Saccharomyces cerevisiae S288C: one gene and its partners. The protein of the gene in region 1 binds, or shares a complex with, the protein of each later gene. Each region holds a gene or a part of one and is shown in the gene's direction. Other genes may lie near its edges. The genes, in order: PEX21, PEX7 and POT1.

The links.
Region 2: the proteins of PEX21 (region 1) and PEX7 are in contact, whole or in part, in a crystal structure (PDB 3W15), measured with the Saccharomyces cerevisiae proteins. Residues at the interface, in NP_011755.3 of Saccharomyces cerevisiae: Val227 (codon at 2,358), Lys230 (codon at 2,367), Leu231 (codon at 2,370), Ser234 (codon at 2,379), Lys235 (codon at 2,382), Phe236 (codon at 2,385), Leu239 (codon at 2,394), Leu250 (codon at 2,427), Ser260 (codon at 2,457), Glu261 (codon at 2,460), Leu262 (codon at 2,463), Val271 (codon at 2,490), Gly272 (codon at 2,493), Asn273 (codon at 2,496), Arg274 (codon at 2,499), His275 (codon at 2,502), Ile276 (codon at 2,505), Phe277 (codon at 2,508), Val278 (codon at 2,511), Lys279 (codon at 2,514), Asp280 (codon at 2,517), Glu281 (codon at 2,520), Ile282 (codon at 2,523), His283 (codon at 2,526), Ile286 (codon at 2,535), Leu287 (codon at 2,538), Asp288 (codon at 2,541); in NP_010426.1 of Saccharomyces cerevisiae: Gln7 (codon at 1,968), Gly8 (codon at 1,971), Phe9 (codon at 1,974), Ser30 (codon at 2,037), Asn31 (codon at 2,040), Phe32 (codon at 2,043), Leu34 (codon at 2,049), Val35 (codon at 2,052), Gly36 (codon at 2,055), Asn37 (codon at 2,058), Leu58 (codon at 2,121), Thr59 (codon at 2,124), Gln60 (codon at 2,127), His72 (codon at 2,163), Arg86 (codon at 2,205), Asp89 (codon at 2,214), Thr91 (codon at 2,220), Phe92 (codon at 2,223), Lys93 (codon at 2,226), Phe95 (codon at 2,232), Pro96 (codon at 2,235), Ile97 (codon at 2,238), Ala98 (codon at 2,241), Ile99 (codon at 2,244), Leu284 (codon at 2,799), Asp305 (codon at 2,862), Met306 (codon at 2,865), Thr339 (codon at 2,964), His341 (codon at 2,970), Ser342 (codon at 2,973).
Region 3: the proteins of PEX21 (region 1) and POT1 are in contact, whole or in part, in a crystal structure (PDB 3W15), measured with the Saccharomyces cerevisiae proteins. Residues at the interface, in NP_011755.3 of Saccharomyces cerevisiae: Leu199 (codon at 2,274), Ile202 (codon at 2,283), Ala203 (codon at 2,286), Asp205 (codon at 2,292), Ile206 (codon at 2,295), Cys209 (codon at 2,304), Cys210 (codon at 2,307), Thr211 (codon at 2,310), Leu231 (codon at 2,370), Phe236 (codon at 2,385), Met240 (codon at 2,397), Ile243 (codon at 2,406), Leu250 (codon at 2,427), Leu262 (codon at 2,463); in NP_012106.1 of Saccharomyces cerevisiae: Met1 (codon at 1,670), Ser2 (codon at 1,673), Leu5 (codon at 1,682), Gln6 (codon at 1,685), Ile8 (codon at 1,691), Lys9 (codon at 1,694), Leu12 (codon at 1,703), Val13 (codon at 1,706).

Annotation. Positions count from the first base shown.
Region 1 is NC_001139.9:968,540-971,732, reverse strand, and holds PEX21 (Pex21p), read left to right. Parts: upstream 1-1,679; coding exon 1,680-2,546; downstream 2,547-3,193. Other genes in the region: PFK1 (6-phosphofructokinase subunit alpha), read left to right, coding at 1-962; KEL2 (Kel2p), read left to right, coding at 3,046-3,193. UniProt on the Saccharomyces cerevisiae protein: Receptor that mediates peroxisomal import of proteins containing a C-terminal PTS2-type peroxisomal targeting signal via its interaction with PEX7.
Region 2 is NC_001136.10:739,914-743,549, reverse strand, and holds PEX7 (Pex7p), read left to right. Parts: upstream 1-1,949; coding exon 1,950-3,077; downstream 3,078-3,636. Other genes in the region: ubiquitin-protein ligase SAN1, read left to right, coding at 1-1,508; DOP1 (Dop1p), read left to right, coding at 3,553-3,636. UniProt on the Saccharomyces cerevisiae protein: Receptor required for the peroxisomal import of proteins containing a C-terminal PTS2-type peroxisomal targeting signal, such as 3-oxoacyl-CoA thiolase. Specifically binds to cargo proteins containing a PTS2 peroxisomal targeting signal in the cytosol.
Region 3 is NC_001141.2:39,622-43,113, reverse strand, and holds POT1 (acetyl-CoA C-acyltransferase), read left to right. Parts: upstream 1-1,669; coding exon 1,670-2,923; downstream 2,924-3,492. Other genes in the region: formin BNR1, read right to left, coding at 1-1,289; SMU2 (Smu2p), read right to left, coding at 2,974-3,492. UniProt on the Saccharomyces cerevisiae protein: Responsible for the thiolytic cleavage of straight chain 3-keto fatty acyl-CoAs (3-oxoacyl-CoAs).

The DNA of each region.
Region 1 (3,193 bases):
CTTCAGAAGATTTGGGTACCATTGCTTACTACTTCCAAAAGAACAAGCTAGACGGTTTGATTATTCTTGGTGGTTTTGAAGGTTTCAGGTCCTTGAAGCAATTGCGTGACGGTAGAACCCAACACCCAATCTTTAACATTCCAATGTGTTTGATTCCAGCCACTGTTTCTAACAACGTTCCAGGTACTGAATACTCACTTGGTGTTGATACCTGTTTGAACGCATTAGTCAATTACACTGATGACATCAAACAGAGTGCTTCTGCGACAAGAAGAAGAGTCTTCGTCTGTGAAGTCCAAGGTGGTCACTCTGGTTACATCGCTTCTTTCACTGGTTTAATCACTGGTGCTGTTTCAGTGTACACTCCAGAAAAGAAGATCGACTTAGCTTCTATCAGAGAAGATATAACTCTATTAAAAGAGAACTTTCGTCACGACAAAGGTGAAAACAGAAACGGTAAGCTATTGGTTAGAAACGAACAAGCTTCTAGCGTATATAGCACTCAATTGTTGGCTGACATCATCTCTGAAGCAAGCAAGGGTAAGTTTGGTGTTAGAACTGCTATCCCAGGCCATGTTCAACAAGGTGGTGTTCCATCTTCTAAAGACCGTGTCACCGCTTCCAGATTTGCTGTCAAATGTATCAAGTTTATCGAACAATGGAACAAGAAAAATGAAGCTTCTCCAAACACTGACGCTAAGGTTTTGAGATTCAAGTTCGATACTCACGGTGAAAAGGTACCAACTGTTGAGCACGAAGATGACTCTGCTGCTGTTATCTGTGTTAATGGTTCTCACGTTTCCTTCAAGCCAATTGCTAACCTTTGGGAAAACGAAACCAACGTTGAATTAAGAAAGGGTTTTGAAGTTCACTGGGCTGAATACAACAAGATTGGTGACATCCTGTCCGGTAGATTAAAGTTGAGAGCTGAGGTAGCCGCTTTAGCCGCTGAAAACAAATGAATGATTGCAATGAAAAGTTTAAGTTAAGCAAAAGGAGGTAAAAATGGCATGCACTTTAATTTTTATACAATCGTTTTTTTGTCATAAGACTTATTTATGTATCTGTTGTTTTTCTTTTTCTATCCTCTATTTTTGTCTATTTGTCTTTGTTTTACTCTTTTTCATTATTATTTCTTTATATAATTTTTGTACGATATGATACACATAACAATGAGCAATGAACATATTTCTAATCCTAACCATTAGATATACTTTTCAACTGAGGAATAATGGCGCCTTGATTAAACTAAGCTATGGAATTTGCATTATTCAAGTTTTAGGGTGTGCTTAATCTGCGTTGACAATGGTTCACGAAGACGACATCGGCAACTTTGCTGTACTACAAATTGCTCTGAATGTGAGGCTGATCCACATCATAGTGAGGCGCGCTACCTTAATTGTAGTCGTATTGTCATCGGTCTACGAATACCGTTTGGTTTATTTGTCGGCCTTTTTTCTTTCCGTTTCTTTTTATCTTTCCGCTGGAAAAATGGAAACTAGTGCCGATAATCGGAGATGGGATGACTAAATATTTCTTTAAGGCATTGGCAATGTTCAAACCTCTGATAGAACGGCAGATATATATTTAAGAGAATATAGTCAAGGTTGACGCCGCATACTTTGGTTTTGTTTCAAAAAGAAACAGGTGAAAAATTATAAAGACCAAACTAGAATACCATGCCCAGTGTCTGCCATACAAGCCCGATAGAAAAGATTATCCAACAAGGGCATCGCATACAGAATGATTCCTTAATACCGTCAAAACGCACCAAGCTGGCCCATACGGAATTAACAGCACACTATGCCACTGAAGACTCGCATGTGGAAAAACACTTTTTGCATAATGGTAGTAATTTTGACGGCATTGACAATGTAAGGTATCAAAATCAACCCTCTCCATTAACCTTCATTACTCCAAACAACACTGTAGATTCCAGTGATTGGGTTCCGCAGTTCTCGTCTATGAAGATTGACGATTCACTAGAGTTTAGCTCAGAATATAAAAGGTTGTATTCCAATTACGAGTCACAGCAGCGCCTGAATTCAAGCAGACAACACTTACCTTTTAAGAATTGTATGATAAGGAAGACAAGTTGCACTTACCCACCTCAAAAGACGCTTCGACAGCAACGCCAAGGAAACCGGGACAACCCAACGGATGCGTTTCAATTCGACGCGGAGTTCCAAGTTTTGGAGAGAGAAATTCAAAAAGAGCGGTACGAGCCCATAACACGTCGGGACGAGAAATGGTTCGACCAAGATCAGTCGGAACTGCAAAGGATTGCCACAGATATAGTAAAATGCTGTACTCCACCGCCTTCGTCTGCATCCTCCTCTTCTACTCTTTCCTCCTCTGTCGAATCAAAACTATCTGAGTCGAAGTTTATTCAGTTAATGAGAAACATTAGTAGCGGTGACGTGACTTTAAAGAAAAATGCAGATGGAAATTCCGCAAGCGAGTTATTCTCATCCAACAACGGGGAACTGGTCGGAAACAGGCACATTTTCGTCAAGGACGAAATTCACAAAGACATACTTGATTGATATAGGCAGTTTCTACAATTGTACCTCTTGTAACTACTACATACGTTGATATATGTTTACAGATAGCTAAGAATATCAAAATCATGAATATGTGCCCTTATGTGTTCTCTGCGCTGAGGAGTATCGCAGCTTCACTCCTGCAGATGCATGCCCTACCTACTGTCATGCCCATCTCTCTCGTTTAAAACTTACTACACCTTTTTTGTGCATGGATTGTGCTGATGTAAGCTGCACGAAATGACACGCTTGTGAATTTTTTCTTCTCTTGGGAGAAACTGTGAAGAAAAAAAAAAAAGCTTCGCAAAACCCGAATTAGTCTCGAAGGAAGTAATTACCTTGTGAAAGGGTCTTTTGGGATACTAATTTATTATGAAGTTTGGTTTTGGTGTTGCTTGCTCTTTTTTTTTTCAATTTTGAAATGCGTACACGTGAATTTTAGCATAGGTTGTAACAAAAAAAAAAAATGATTTGGATGAGGCAGGCAACCCCTTAAGTAGCTATGGTACCTTTCAAGCTGACAAATAAGGTACCTACGGACACGGGACCTTCTCTGATTTCAGCGCAAAGTGTACCCAGACCAATAGTTTTTATGGATAATCGAAACAATACGCGAATAGTAACACCTACGCTACCTCCAAACCAGCATA
Region 2 (3,636 bases), on another chromosome or scaffold:
CGTCTACTCCACAAGACCGTTTGAACAGCTTCATATCTGTTGCTGCTCAGCTTGCAATGGAGAGATTCAACAGACTATTAAATAGACCAAAAGGAATATCAAAGGATGAGTTTGATAAGCTCCCCGTTCTGCAAGTTTCTGATCTACCCAAGGCCGAAGGGCCCTTATGTAGTATATGTTATGACGAATATGAAGATGAAGTTGATTCAACTAAAGCAAAAAGAAAAAGGGATTCTGAAAATGAGGAGGAATCTGAAGGAACAAAAAAAAGGAAGGATAATGAAGGTGCGCCCCTACGCACAACCGCCGATAATGACAGTAACCCATCGATTACAAATGCTACGGTTGTTGAACCGCCTTCTATTCCTCTCACTGAACAACAACGCACTCTCAATGATGAAGAAACAAATCCAAGCTACAAACACTCACCAATCAAGTTACCTTGTGGCCACATTTTTGGGAGGGAATGTATCTACAAATGGTCAAGATTAGAAAATTCTTGTCCCCTTTGTAGACAAAAGATCAGCGAATCTGTAGGTGTTCAACGTGCAGCCCAACAAGATACGGATGAAGTAGCAGCTAACGAAGCTGCTTTTGAACGTATTAGACGAGTTTTATACGACCCAACTGCAGTGAATAGCACTAACGAAAATAGTTCCGCCCCATCCGAAAACACGTCCAATACAACGGTTCCCACTATCGGAAATGCAAGTTCTGGCGAACAGATGTTATCAAGAACAGGCTTTTTTTTAGTGCCTCAAAACGGCCAACCTTTACACAATCCAGTCCGTTTACCGCCTAATGATAGCGATAGAAACGGTGTCAACGGGCCGAGCTCAACTACTCAAAATCCACCCTCTAATTCTGGTGGTTCGAATAACAATCAAAGTCCGCGCTGGGTTCCCATCCCTTTGACTTTGTTCCAATTCCACAGTCCAAATCCGAATCCTTCCGCTTCTGATTCTTCGGCAAGCCCATCAGCAGCGAACGGTCCAAACTCAAATAACACTAGTAGTGACGCTACAGACCCTCACCACAACAGACTAAGAGCCGTTTTGGATCACATATTCAACGTTGCTCAGAGGGGAACTTCTGATACCTCTGCAACAACAGCACCCGGAGCACAAACTGTTCACAACCAAGGACGTAATGACTCATCGTCCTCTGATACAACGCAAGGAAGTTCCTTTTTGGAAAATATTTCACGATTAACAGGCCATTTTACGAATGGCTCAAGAGACAACAATAACGACAATAACCATAGCAATGATCAACAACGAGGTGGAAGTACTGGTGAGAACAACAGAAATAACTTGTTTTCCTCCGGTGTTGCCAGTTATAGAAATCAAAATGGTGATGTTACTACCGTCGAACTACGCAACAACAATTCTGCTGCCTTTCCTCCTACAGACGAAAATCCCTCTCAAGGCCAAGGTTCAAGCAGTTCGGACACCACCATTCATAACGACGTCCCTAATGATAACAATGAGCAACGATCATCACAATAAACAATACCGCTTCTGAAGTATGTTAATATGAAAATATGTCCTATTGGCAGTCATCCATTTTCAGACATTATTTTCTACTCCTTTTACCTTTTTTTTATCTGCATCTTTATATATATATATCATATACTTATTTTTCTTTACTTCTACTTAAAGTTCTATAATCATTGTTAATCAGAAATTTGCATGTCTCCAGCAAGTAAATATGAAGGCCGAGAAATTAAACCACCGACATAACCTCCTCTGAAAAGTCGTTTCGCAAAACAGTAAAAGGTGAAAACACTTTTAAGAACTGTGGAACACAAACTGTGTTTTCTTACCATAAAATCTTTTACCGGAGGTCGAAATCGTTTTCTTTCTGATTTGGAATTCGACGCTCGAAAAGTGCAGAGATCTCATATTGTTAACGGACTATCATCTAACTTTTTGCATAATTTATACAACATGCTCAGATATCATATGCAAGGTTTTAGTGGGTACGGTGTCCAGTATTCTCCCTTTTTCGATAACAGGCTCGCGGTAGCTGCTGGTTCAAACTTTGGCCTGGTTGGGAATGGAAAATTGTTCATCCTTGAGATTGATCGTTCAGGTAGAATAGTGGAAGTTAATTCCTTTTTAACACAGGATTGTTTATTTGATCTTGCATGGAACGAAAGTCATGAAAACCAAGTGTTGGTTGCACAGGGCGATGGTACATTACGCTTGTTTGATACAACCTTTAAAGAGTTTCCTATTGCTATATTTAAAGAGCATGAACGAGAAGTATTCAGTTGTAATTGGAACTTAGTCAACAGGCAGAATTTCTTAAGTAGTTCATGGGATGGATCTATAAAAATATGGTCCCCTCTAAGAAAGCAAAGTTTAATGACCCTTACTCCACGACCTTTAGAGATTACCAAAATGGTGGATCCATTAAACGCCATTATATTGAAAAAGAAAAGCTTTACAGGTATTTCAAAAAACAGGAACTGTGTATACCAAGCACAGTTCTCGCCCCACGACCAAAATCTCGTATTATCCTGTTCAGGGAATTCTTATGCAAGCTTATTTGACATTAGACTACCTTCCGGCAAAAATCAGAATAATTTTTTAGTGCATTCAGGACTAGAAGCATTGACTTGCGATTTCAACAAATACAGACCTTATGTAGTTGCCACAGGAGGTGTAGATAATGCCATTAGAATCTGGGACATTAGGATGCTAAATAAAAATGAATCAGCGACTATCAAGAGGACTGTGCCCGGCCAACTTCACAATTCATCATGCATCAATGAAATCCCTAATGCGCACGGGCTGGCAATCAGAAAAGTTACCTGGTCCCCTCATCATTCCAATATTTTAATGTCAGCTTCATATGATATGACCTGTCGAATATGGAGAGATCTCAGCAACGATGGTGCAAAAGAAACATATAAAACTAACTCTACGGATGCTACTAAAGGTTCCATTTTCAATTTCACACAGCATTCAGAATTCGTATTTGGAGCTGACTGGAGCTTGTGGGGAAAGCCAGGATATGTGGCTTCAACTGCATGGGATGGAAATTTATTTGTATGGAACGGCTTAGGTTGACACATATTCTTTTTACACAAATTTTTTGCATTATTTAAACTTTAAAATTATTTTTCAATCATTGTCAGCATTTGGCAGATCATTTACGTAATTATTTAATATTCTCAACACGAAATTATGGGTAACAACGCTTCTGACTGTGCAAAAGAACATTCTAAAAACATACCTACGGCAAAAACTGCTAATTACTCAAATTAATCAAGTTTTTATAACGACATAAGCGAGTGCTGAAAGAAGGAATATTTAGAGTCCGATTACCGTTTTATTAATAAACGACATACTTATATATTTGCTGGGCGTTCCACCCGAGGCACGTGATCAAAAGTGATTTTGGTTTTTTCAAAGGCTAAGCTTCGATCTCACTGGAAAAGGAACAATAGCAATACCTAATATAAAACTCAAGCCTCCCAATTATGTTTATAACGGTGAAATAAAAAGCCGACAGAGCAGCTTTTTCTGAGAGGATCGACAAAAAATGTCCTTACCACTAAAGCCCCTTACAATTGACTCAAATAATAAACAACTAGACTCCAAACAGAAGAAGTTTCGTGCTAATGTC
Region 3 (3,492 bases), on another chromosome or scaffold:
CATAGAGGCTCGCTTTCTATTCTTGCGATATCTTTTGTTGGGTGAAGCGAATTCGTATCGTTGGTAGTTTTTATCATCGAGTCAAATATCGCAGATTCTTTGGATTTGAATTGTTTTATTTGTTCCATGATCACGACACTATTAGGATCATCTTTATAGGCCAGTTCTAAAAATGTGATAGTGTTATGTATATTATTCTTTTTCAAAAAATTCAAAATTTCTAGTGCAGTCTTGTTGTTGAAACCTTGCAGTATGGAGTTTATTAGCAGTAGGAAAGTTGTCGAATAGTCTATTTTTAATTGGTTCCAGTTCAAATAAAGGGATGAATGAATTGCAATATCATCCGCAAGGATTTTGTCAAACCATTCTAGCCAATCGGTGAATAATATGGAAAGCTGGTCCCATATCAACTCACAACCCGTGGAACCCTCAACATACGTTAATAATAAAAGTAACTCCATAGAAAGTAACTGACATTTCAAATTAGAATTTTGATCCGTCAGAAGCTCGGTGAACCAGCGAATTAAAGGCTCAGAATGTAGTGCTCTTATTCTCGCCAGTGGGTTGTTCATCAGTATTTTAAAGCACCGAAGATAAACAAATTGTAATTCCTTGGATATGAGTGGCAAAGTCTTTTCGATCAATGTCGTCAAGTAAATTTCATCCTTGAGAAAAAGTTGCAAAAAGCTTTGCTTTCGCAGGAATTTTTCTAGTTTATATAGAGCCTTCGATAACTTCATGCCACCTGTTGAAAGGTTTCTAACTAGGCCATCCAAAAAGTGTGCGTTTTCAGCTAGTTCATTAGTGGCCAAATGTGTAGAGTATGTCGTGCTCGAAGTCACTTTCTTTTTCCCCCAATGATTGGAACTACGGATTTTACATATCAATAACCATTTCCTTCGTAGAGAGATGTTTTGTAAATTCTTATAAGCAGCCCCCCAAAAAAAAGTTCCATCTTTTAAAAGCTCATCAAACATTCTTTCGACGAGTGATGCGTCCTGAGGCATGCACTTCGGATTAAAATCCATTTCCGATCCGTTCACTTCTTCGGAAACCATTGGTGACGAAGAAACGTCATTAGCTGAGAAATTCTTCTGTTTCATGTATATATGTGATCCTGTACCTTGTTTCTCTAACGCTACACCGACCAACTGCAAGCCAGCGGCAACCAGCCCATCGTTCAAATTCAATTCTTCCAATTTACGGGCTTCGCTGACCCTATCACGCGCGTGAAGTGACAGCGATCTGCGAGGGTAGCGGTACGTCTTCTTGTTCGGGGAAGAGTCCATCGCTGATGATTGTGCTATTTTTTTATCTGCTTTTGTGTCACGATCATCATCACTATGTAATCTTCAAAAGATCAAGAATTTGCTAGTTTTGAACCTATGCCACAAATAGCGAAAAAAGAAAAAAAACTTGACGCGTCAACATGAGGAGGGTAATGATGTGGTAGCGCCGTGTAAGGCGCTATCAAAGGGAAACGGGGATAATAGTATTAACACCGCAGCTTTTTTTTCCTTTCTCCCTCTATTGGTTTCAAATTTATTGGAGTTTTACTAGAAAGAAGAGATATAAATAGGGTATACTTTTGCATCTCAGTTCTATTGAAATCGAATGGTTATTTCTTGTGGCTCTGAGTACAGAGTGAATATAACACTACATAAAAGCAATGTCTCAAAGACTACAAAGTATCAAGGATCATTTGGTGGAGAGCGCCATGGGTAAGGGTGAATCGAAGAGGAAGAACTCGTTGCTGGAGAAAAGACCCGAAGATGTAGTTATTGTGGCTGCTAACAGGTCTGCCATCGGTAAAGGTTTTAAAGGTGCCTTCAAAGATGTAAACACAGACTACTTATTATACAACTTTCTCAATGAGTTCATCGGGAGGTTTCCGGAACCTTTGAGGGCTGATTTGAACTTAATCGAAGAAGTTGCCTGTGGAAATGTTCTCAATGTTGGAGCCGGTGCTACAGAACACAGGGCTGCATGCTTGGCAAGTGGGATTCCCTACTCGACGCCATTTGTCGCTTTAAACAGACAATGTTCTTCAGGTTTAACGGCGGTGAACGATATTGCCAACAAGATTAAGGTTGGGCAAATTGATATTGGTTTGGCGCTGGGAGTGGAATCAATGACCAATAACTACAAAAACGTCAATCCCTTGGGCATGATCTCCTCTGAAGAGCTGCAAAAAAACCGAGAAGCGAAGAAATGTCTAATACCAATGGGCATTACTAATGAGAATGTTGCCGCTAATTTCAAGATCAGTAGAAAGGATCAAGACGAGTTCGCTGCGAATTCATATCAAAAAGCTTACAAGGCGAAAAATGAGGGGCTTTTCGAAGATGAAATTTTACCTATAAAATTACCAGATGGCTCAATTTGCCAGTCGGACGAAGGGCCACGCCCTAACGTCACTGCGGAGTCGCTTTCAAGCATCAGGCCTGCCTTTATCAAAGACAGAGGAACCACAACTGCGGGCAATGCATCCCAGGTCTCCGATGGTGTGGCAGGTGTCTTGTTAGCCCGCAGGTCCGTAGCCAACCAGTTAAATCTGCCTGTGCTAGGTCGCTACATCGATTTTCAAACAGTGGGGGTTCCCCCTGAAATCATGGGTGTGGGCCCTGCATACGCCATACCAAAAGTCCTGGAAGCTACTGGCTTGCAAGTCCAAGATATCGATATTTTTGAAATAAATGAAGCATTCGCGGCCCAAGCATTATACTGCATCCATAAACTGGGCATCGATTTGAATAAAGTAAATCCAAGAGGTGGTGCAATCGCGTTAGGCCATCCCTTGGGTTGTACTGGCGCAAGGCAAGTAGCTACCATACTAAGAGAACTGAAAAAGGATCAAATCGGGGTTGTTAGTATGTGTATCGGTACTGGTATGGGTGCCGCCGCCATCTTTATTAAAGAATAGTTTTAATACTTGATAATAGTTAATATTCTCCCTTTTTATTATGCTCATATTTATATGGTTTTGTAAAAGCTATTACGTAGTTTATCAATTTGTTTATAATTTTCCATTTTCAATATTTCTAACTCACTAACCAAATAGTTTATTTGAGATAATATCCTCCAGTCCTCCTTAACCAATTGACGGGCTTTCCAGTTGAAATTCGCTATCACGGTGTCCATGTAAGAGGAAACTTCTTCATTACTTTTCATCGTTAGTTTTATTGGGGCCTTTGGATAATCCAAAGGTATGTTGAATAAAATTTTCAAAGAAATCTTACCGGAGTCTGTCATGGGGGAGATTCGATAGCCATATGAGGTAACGTGCTTACCCTTTTTAAACAGTTTAAAATCGGATAAGGTGTGAATGCATTGTTCGATTTCTTCTTGCCTTTTTGCGATTTGTTTTCGCTCTTCTACATTAATTTCCTTTGAGTAGTGTAGGGTATTCTTTTTATTAGCTCCATTATTGTTTTTCCGCCTTCTGTTTTTCGCTTGAGATTTCTCGACTCTCACTTCTTCCCCTCCAGTCAC